Macaca mulatta: one gene and its partner. The protein of the gene in region 1 purifies or fractionates together with the protein of each later gene. This does not show direct contact. Links are inferred from orthologs where the notes say so. Each region holds a gene or a part of one and is shown in the gene's direction. Other genes may lie near its edges.

Region 1 (3,913 bases):
GCAGCTTTTGGTCCACTTAATAGTTTGGATGAAGACAATTTTAAATGGATTCTGCCTGGTACTGTAAATGCCCAAGAACAAACCACTGACTTTTGGGCAGAGTTCTAGCAAATCAGCAACTGGAGTGTCAGATTCGCAATGACTGCTCTCTTGTGTAAAACGTCAAAAACAAGTTAGTGAGCTGCAGTACCTTTACTATTTTTAAGTTGACGTTAAAGGATGTGGGAAAAAAATAGACCAATGGATATCCATCAAGAATAATTTGAATAAACAAACGAATATCATTTTAAACTATGGTAGTGGTCAGTTTCAAGAGCTGAATGCGATTTCATATTATTGTATCCTTTTTTCAACTTCCTCTTCGGAAATTTTGTGTATGCTCTTGATTTTTTAAAAAATAGGTAAGTGTATGCTCTTGCGTTCATTTATTTCACAAACATTAATGCTCAAACACTGCTGCGTGCACTTTTTTTACCTGATAGTTTTTTCCTTTGGATGACAGAAAACGTTAATGCTTGGTAGGTTTAAAACATTAAAAAAAATGAGTTCTTCCTTTTTGACAAGAATCACCTACCTAATTAATAAATGCTTATTTCTGGGTTCCACTCTCAGAGATCCTCGCTTTTTTATGTTTGGAGTTGGAAACCTATGTTTTCAGCCAGTACCCAAAGCGATTGTGAGGCCTGGTGGCCCAAAGATCATACCTTGAGAACGACTCGACCCAATGCTATTTTCATGTTTTGCAGCTTTCAAAATATTAACTTCAGAAATCTAAGGACGGTGGGCAACTCGGGTGCTGTCAGAAGACCCGAGAGTGAGCCGCTCACGCTGTGCCCCGTTGCACAACTTTCCTTGACTTTCCAGATCTCTCCCTGAGGAAGAAATCAGTTCATTTTCACCGAGCAATTAACTACTCCCAACCGGTTCCGTCTATGTCCCTCAGGATGACCCCCCAAAGTCACCAGCTCATCGCCGCTGCGAAAATAAAGCGCTGTTTGCCCCGCGTGCCCCCGCAGGGCCGCGGGAACCTGGGCTCGCTTCCCGCCACCCGGGCTCCTCCTCCTCTAGCCCTCTCCGGTCGGGTCCTCCCGGAGGCGCCCCGCGCGGCAGGTATTGGCGCCAACCGGGTGGCGGCGCTGTCCGCCCTGCGCGCGGCCGCCTCGGGCCCGAGGGAGGCGGATGCACGGCCGGCGGAGGAAGGGGAGGGAGCGAGGAGCGCGCGCTGCTCTCGCGTGCTCTCGCGCCGCTCGCGTGACCGGCCGGTGTGTGCGCGAGGGCCAGCTCCCGGGGCACGGACGGCCGGGCGCGCGCCGCTGCGAGGGGCGTCCGGGTCCGAGTCGGCGGTCCGGGCCGGCGCGAGGTGCGTGCGGGCGGGCTGCGGGGGTCCCGGGCGGACACACGCGCACACGTTCCCGGAGGAGCCTTCGAGGCTGCTCTTCCTCGGCCAGACGGAGAGCGGCACTGTCTCCCCGCCCAGCGCTCACTCGCCCCGAGTCTCCCCCCGCAGCGGCTGCTCCTCCTCGGCACCGCCAGCCCCAGCGCCGCTCCCGGGCGGGCGGGCGGCGGCGGCGGCGGGACCCGCGGAGCCGCTTTGTGTGCAGCCCGACGAGGGGCGGCGGCGCAACCACCTGACAGAGGCCCGGGCGCTCGATGCACCTTCCGCCCGCATGAGGAGGAGGTAAAGGCGGCGGTGGCTCGGCTCCCGCCCTAGGCTGCTGGAGGGAGGGGACGGAAGAGGAGACCGGAGGGGGGCCGCGGGTCCGAGGCCCGGTGGGGCCGCCCGGGGGTGCCGGAAAGGCCTTGGCGGTGCCGGAGGCGCCAAGCGGCCGGGGGCCAGAGAAGCAGCTGGGGTCCCTCAGCCGAAGTTGAAGGAACAAAATGTGAAGTGCGGAGCCGCGTCAGCCGCTTCCTGGCGTGGGGCTCGGGGTGGAGGGCGGCTTGTTTTCCCCTCCCGCGGGGGTGAGGGAGCGGAACAGGGGAGGGGCGGCAGTGCGGCGGGGACTACCCCGGGTCCGAGGCTCGGCTGGGCAAGGGCGTTTTGTTCCCGGGAGCCGCCGCTGCGCGTGGGTCCGCTGGGTCCCTAGTTTTGCGGCCTAAGCCGAGCCGTATAGGCCTCGCGTCTGCTTTCCCGGAGGGGACTGGCCGGGCGGGACTGGGCGCTTCCCCACGGCCGAGCGGGGGCCTTGGGGTCCTTGCCGGCCTCCTGAGGCCGCCAAACTTCGGACCTTGGTGCTCGGGGCTGGGTTTCATTGTGAAAGACGGAATGGGAAACTCCTGGCGCTGTTCGGCGCCTCCCGCGGCCGCGGCTGCTGGTGCCGAGGAGCCCCGTGAGCCTGGGGCTGGCTGGGCTGGGGCTGGTGGGGCCGGCGGGGTTCGAGCCCTGGGAAAGAGCGGGTGGCGAGGCCGCTGCCGGGTCCCCGGCGTCCGGGGAGAAAGGGCCTTTTCCAGATTAGAGAGATTTGAAATGAAAAAAGAGGTTACAAAGTCGCCCCTTTCCCGCTGAACTTTGGTTTTCTGACCGATAGAGGCCGGTAGAGGACTGTGAACCAAAAGTTGTCCCCCAGGATGGACTTCACCGCGCAGCCCAAGCCTGCCACTGCCCTCTGTGGCGTCGTGAGTGCCGACGGGAAGATCGCTTACCCTCCGGGGGTAAAAGAGATCACCGACAAGATCACCACTGACGAGATGATCAAACGCCTGAAGGTAAGCGTCTGGACGGATTGTTCGCTCTTCAGATGTCTTTGGTAGGAGGTGCTTTCTCCTGTCATATTGCTACCCTGCTCGTTCTGGCCTTTAGAGTTCCAAGTTTTTTAGATCTCTTACGCCCTGTGAAAGGTACTGTTGTATCTCAGATAAGTTATCTTTGAGTAAGCTTTGTAAGGACATAACCATTGTGGGAAATTTAAAAAGAGTGTGATTTTTCAAAAACTTCCTGGTTTTCAAGCATGAGAATTTGTGTGTTTTTAGAGTTTTTTCTGGAGGTATTTAATGAGAATACTGTTCAGAGTGGCTTGCACACTTACGTGTAGGCAGTAATTTGCCCAAGAAGTTTCCTGTTTTCAACTTGTGAGGAGGACTGATTAAAGCGCAAAGTCCTTTTTAAAAATTTGCATAATTTTCTAGTGTCCAGAAGCTTAAATATGTATATATTGTGGTTAAACTTTGACAGAAGGTACACTTTTCATAATTCAGGCTTAAAGTAAGATGATTTAAGTCTATACATAGTTCAAAGGAGTTTAAGAGTATTATGGCTCTTTTTATGAGGTGTCAGCTAATTTCGTTTAAGCATGGCAGTCCTAAGGTTAAGGTTTTAAATTTCAGCCTCACGTTTGTAAGGTTTTTTGGTTTCTGTTCCACTGACATAGATTGTGGCCAGAATCTTACCAAATAAGTGATACTCTTCTTGTAGGATCAGCTTGAAGCAGTGGTTCTGAGTCAGGGCAACTTTGACCTCCAGGAGATGTTTGGCAATGCTGGAGACATTTTGATTGTCACAATTGGTGCTAGATTGGAGTAGGGAAACACCAGAGGCAGTGAGTCCGGCTAGGAAACTATGAACAGTAGTCTAGGTGAAAGACGTTGAAATCTTCAGATAGGGCTATGGCATTGATAATAGTGACTAGGAAATGATTTAACAACTTTTCAGAGTTAGAATCAATCAGAATTGGTGGGAGGTGAGGGAAGCAACATTGTTGACAATGTTTCCATCTTGGGCGACTTGGCGAAATGTATTTTAGGGAATGAGCTTGGCCTCTTGCTCTTGGAGCCCAGTAAATGTACCTAATGTTGCATTTTAATTAGTACAGTGTTTAAAATGTTCATGTGGTTTAGTTTTCAAACTCTAATTTGGTTGTGCAATTTGTTGCCTTTTTGGAAGGAATAAGACAACAGTTTCTTTCATTAAAACAAATCT
Region 2 (3,813 bases), on another chromosome or scaffold:
TTTTTAATAAGTTGCCTTATTTTTCAGAGAGTAAATACCACTCAATAGCCATGTAATCAACAACTAGTAATGTAAGCCCATTGTCCTTTATCTGTGGAATGAGATAGAGGTTCACATTTCGTTATCTGAAATCGTTGGGGCCAGATGTGTCTTAGAATTTAGAATTATTTTGGATTTTGGAAAGTTTATATTAACTCCCCTATCAGGATCTAAGGTGGTGTTCTCTATTCAAATATAGTGTTTCTTCAGAGGAGAAAATACCTTCCCTAAGTAGGGTAAATACTATAAACAGCCTCCCTTTGGTTGGGGTCGGGTTTTGCTTCCAAGTGTGCTGTGAGAAAACTTTTTACTTTTTAGAGCTTTTTGGATGTTGGAATTGTGGGAAAGGGATTATGAATATGGCAGTAGTACCTACCTGATGGTTGCTTTGAGATAAATTAATGGAAAGTATTTAGAATAGTACCAGGCGTATACTGAGGGCTTATATAAATATAGTTCAGCTTTGTTTTACTTTGAGTTTTGTGAGTGAAATTGAGTATCCTTCATAAGTTATTTAATTCATTATATGTATTTTAATGAATTGCTTCTTTGTGTTCCTAGCTTCTGATTTATTTATTTTTGAGGCAGAGTCTTGCCTTGTTGCCCAGGCTGGAGTGCAGTGGTTCTATCTCAGCTCACTGGAACCTCCTCTGCCTCCTGGGTTCAAACAATTCTTGTGCCTCAGCCTCTCAAGTAGCTAGGACTTGGGAGTGGGTGGCAGGTGCCACCACGCCTAGCTATTTTTTTTTTGTCTTTTTAGTGGAGACAGGGTTTCGCCATGTTGGCCACGCTGATCTCGAACTTCTGGTCTCAAGTGATCTGTCCACTTCGGCCTCCCAAAGAGCCAGGATTACAGGCCTGAGCCATTGTGCCTGGCCCCTAGCTTCATTTTGTACTGGGACATTGGATTTACTGATATGTAACGATTCTTAGTATATTAAGGAGTTTACCTTTTGTGTTTCCCTAGCAACTCATGATAAGCATTTTTCATGTGTATATTCTTGATGTCATTATAATTTCATTGGTGACAGCTGCTCAAATTTTTTTTTTTGAGACAGTCTTGCTTGTCACCCAGGTTGGAATGCAATCTATAGTGGCCTGATTATGTCACACTGCAGCCTTGACCTCCTACTCGGTAATTCTCCCACCTCAGCCTCCTGAGTAGCTGGGACTAGGCATGCCTCACCACGCCAGGCTAATTTTTGATTTTTTTGAAGAGACAGGGTTTCGCTAAATTTCCCAGGCTGGTCTGGGACTCCTGCGCTCAAGTGATCTTCCTGCCTCAGCCTCCAACAGTGCTGAGATTTACTGGCATGAGCCACTGTGCTCGGCTCTGAAGCTGCAGTGAGCCATGATCACACCACTGTATTCCAGTGTGGGTAACAGAGTGAGGTCCTGTCTTGAGGGGAGGAAAACCTATTGGGTAGCATTAAACATTTTATAGTGAATCTGTCCATGTAAAGCATCCCTCTCACCTGTATTTGATGATACTAATTGAGATTTGTAAATAGATTTTCTTAAATGTAGATATATTTTGTAGAAGTAATTTTATTGTTTGTCATAGAGTATACATTTTGCCAGTGTTTTTCTACAAGTAAGTGTTGAGGGAATTAATAATAATACCAGTTGGAATCATATTTGTATCTCATTTGGAAAGGTTATAAAAATGTTCCAATAGTAAAAATTGAAGGCAACAAAAATGAATTCTCCACATATAAGATGAAGAGGCAGGCCAAGGATTTGTTACTGGCTGATATGCATAAATAGCCACTATTAGCCATTTAACTAACACACCAGAACTACTGCTAAAAATTCCTTGAGGTTATATGGCTTTTAGGATTAGAAGAAAGAACAGAAATAGCTAGAGAAACCTGATCCTATGGGCAGGCTTCTAGATAGAACTAGCATACCTTATGGGCAGCCCTATCCCAAATAAATAAAAACATTGGTAGAAGGTTTTTCGGTTGGTTTAGATTTTACTGAATAATTTTTAATTTAAGCATCTTTATTTGAAAAGCCCTTAATACCCCTAAGAAGGTTTGGCTGAGTCATTTGCATGTCATTCTGAATGGATTCCGTTGCTTAACCCTGCTGAAATTTCTTGTGAGTTGATAATTTTAAGGGACTTGATTGCCTGAGGAAAGGTCAATAGAAGACATGAGAGCTATATACTGAAAAGATAGGAGAGAAAATGTCTGATATGTAAACGTTAATTTCTTCACAACCTAAAATTGTTTGCAGTTCTTTCGAGATTGATCATATACTATTGATTAACCACATGTCTGTTGTTTATTAACTTTTATATTGATACCACTCATGTTTTTATCCTTTGACTTATTTTTACAGATAAAGTGGAGAATTTTCATGAAGAACGTGAGAAGAATAGTCACCATATTCACAAAAATGCTGACGACAGTACTAAGAAACCCAATGCAGAAACTACAGTGGCTTCTGAAATCAAGGAAACAAACGATACTTGGAACTCCCAGTTTGGGAAGAGGCCAGAATCACCATCAGAAATATCTCCAATCAAGGGATCTGTAAGAACTGGTTTGTATGAATGGGATAATGATTTTGAAGATATCAGATCAGAAGACTGTATTTTAAGTTTGGATAGTGATCCCCTTTTGGAGATGAAGGATGACGATTTTAAAAATCGATTGGAAAATCTGAATGAAGCCATTGAGGAAGATATTGTACAAAGTGTTCTTAGGCCAACCAACTGTAGGACGTACTGTAGGGCCAATAAAGCGAAATCCTCCCAAGGAGCGTCAAATTTTGATAAGCTGATGGATGGCACCAGTCAGGCCTTAGCCAAAGCAAACAGTGAATCGAGTAAAGATGGCCTGAATCAGGCAAAGAAAGGCGGTGTAAGTTGTGGGACCAGTTTTAGAGGGACAGTTGGACGGACTAGAGATTACACTGTTTTACATCCATCTTGCTTGTCAGTTTGTAATGTTACCATACAGGATACTATGGAACGCAGCATGGATGAGTTCACTGCATCCACTCCTGCAGATTTGGGAGAAGCTGGTCGTCTCAGAAAAAAGGCAGACATTGCAACTTCTAAGACCACTACTAGATTTCGACCTAGTAATACTAAATCCAAAAAGGATGTTAAACTTGAATTTTTTGGTTTTGAAGATCATGAGACAGGAGGTGATGAAGGGGGTTCTGGAAGTTCTAATTACAAAATTAAGTATTTTGGCTTTGATGATCTCAGTGAAAGCGAAGATGATGAAGATGATGACTGTCAAGTGGAAAGAAAGACAAGCAAAAAAAGAACTAAAACAGCTCCATCACCCTCCTTGCAGCCTCCCCCAGAAAGCAATGATAATTCCCAGGACAGTCAGTCTGGTACTAACAATGCAGGTAAGAATTTAAAAAAATATATATAGTAAGTACAGTAGTCCCCCCCTTACCTGCAGTTTCACTTTCTATGGTTTCAATTACCCAAGGTCAACCACATTCTGAAAAGAGGTGAGTACAGTATGATAAGATAAAGACCCCATTCACATAACTTTTATTATAGCATATTGTTATTCTGTTTTATTCTTAGTCATTGCTAATCTCTTACTGTGCTTGATTTATAAATTAAACTTTATCATAGGTATGTATATGCAAAAACATAGTATATACAGGTTTTGGTGTACTATCCATGGTTTCAGGCATCCACTAGGAACTGGCATGTATCCCCTATTGATGGCGGGGGGACTACTATAAATGTGTTTTTCAGGCTTAAATCAACACCTACATAGTTTCTTCCTAGATATT

Evidence for each region.
Region 2: the proteins of PDS5A (region 1) and WAPL purify together in Homo sapiens (affinity purification with mass spectrometry; 6 studies listed by BioGRID and IntAct, with this or other methods). This does not show direct contact. The link is inferred for Macaca mulatta from reciprocal best matches to the Homo sapiens genes PDS5A and WAPL.

Annotation. Positions count from the first base shown.
Region 1 is NC_133410.1:39,196,408-39,200,320, reverse strand, and holds the start of PDS5A (sister chromatid cohesion protein PDS5 homolog A), read left to right. Parts: upstream 1-1,219; 5' UTR 1,220-1,678; intron 1,679-1,708; exon of another isoform or gene 1,709-1,885; intron 1,886-2,525; 5' UTR 2,526-2,565; coding exon 2,566-2,703; intron 2,704-3,913. UniProt on the Homo sapiens protein: Probable regulator of sister chromatid cohesion in mitosis which may stabilize cohesin complex association with chromatin. May couple sister chromatid cohesion during mitosis to DNA replication.
Region 2 is NC_133414.1:63,354,609-63,358,421, forward strand, and holds part of WAPL (wings apart-like protein homolog), read left to right. Parts: intron 1-2,385; coding exon 2,386-3,411; intron 3,412-3,813. UniProt on the Homo sapiens protein: Regulator of sister chromatid cohesion in mitosis which negatively regulates cohesin association with chromatin. Involved in both sister chromatid cohesion during interphase and sister-chromatid resolution during early stages of mitosis.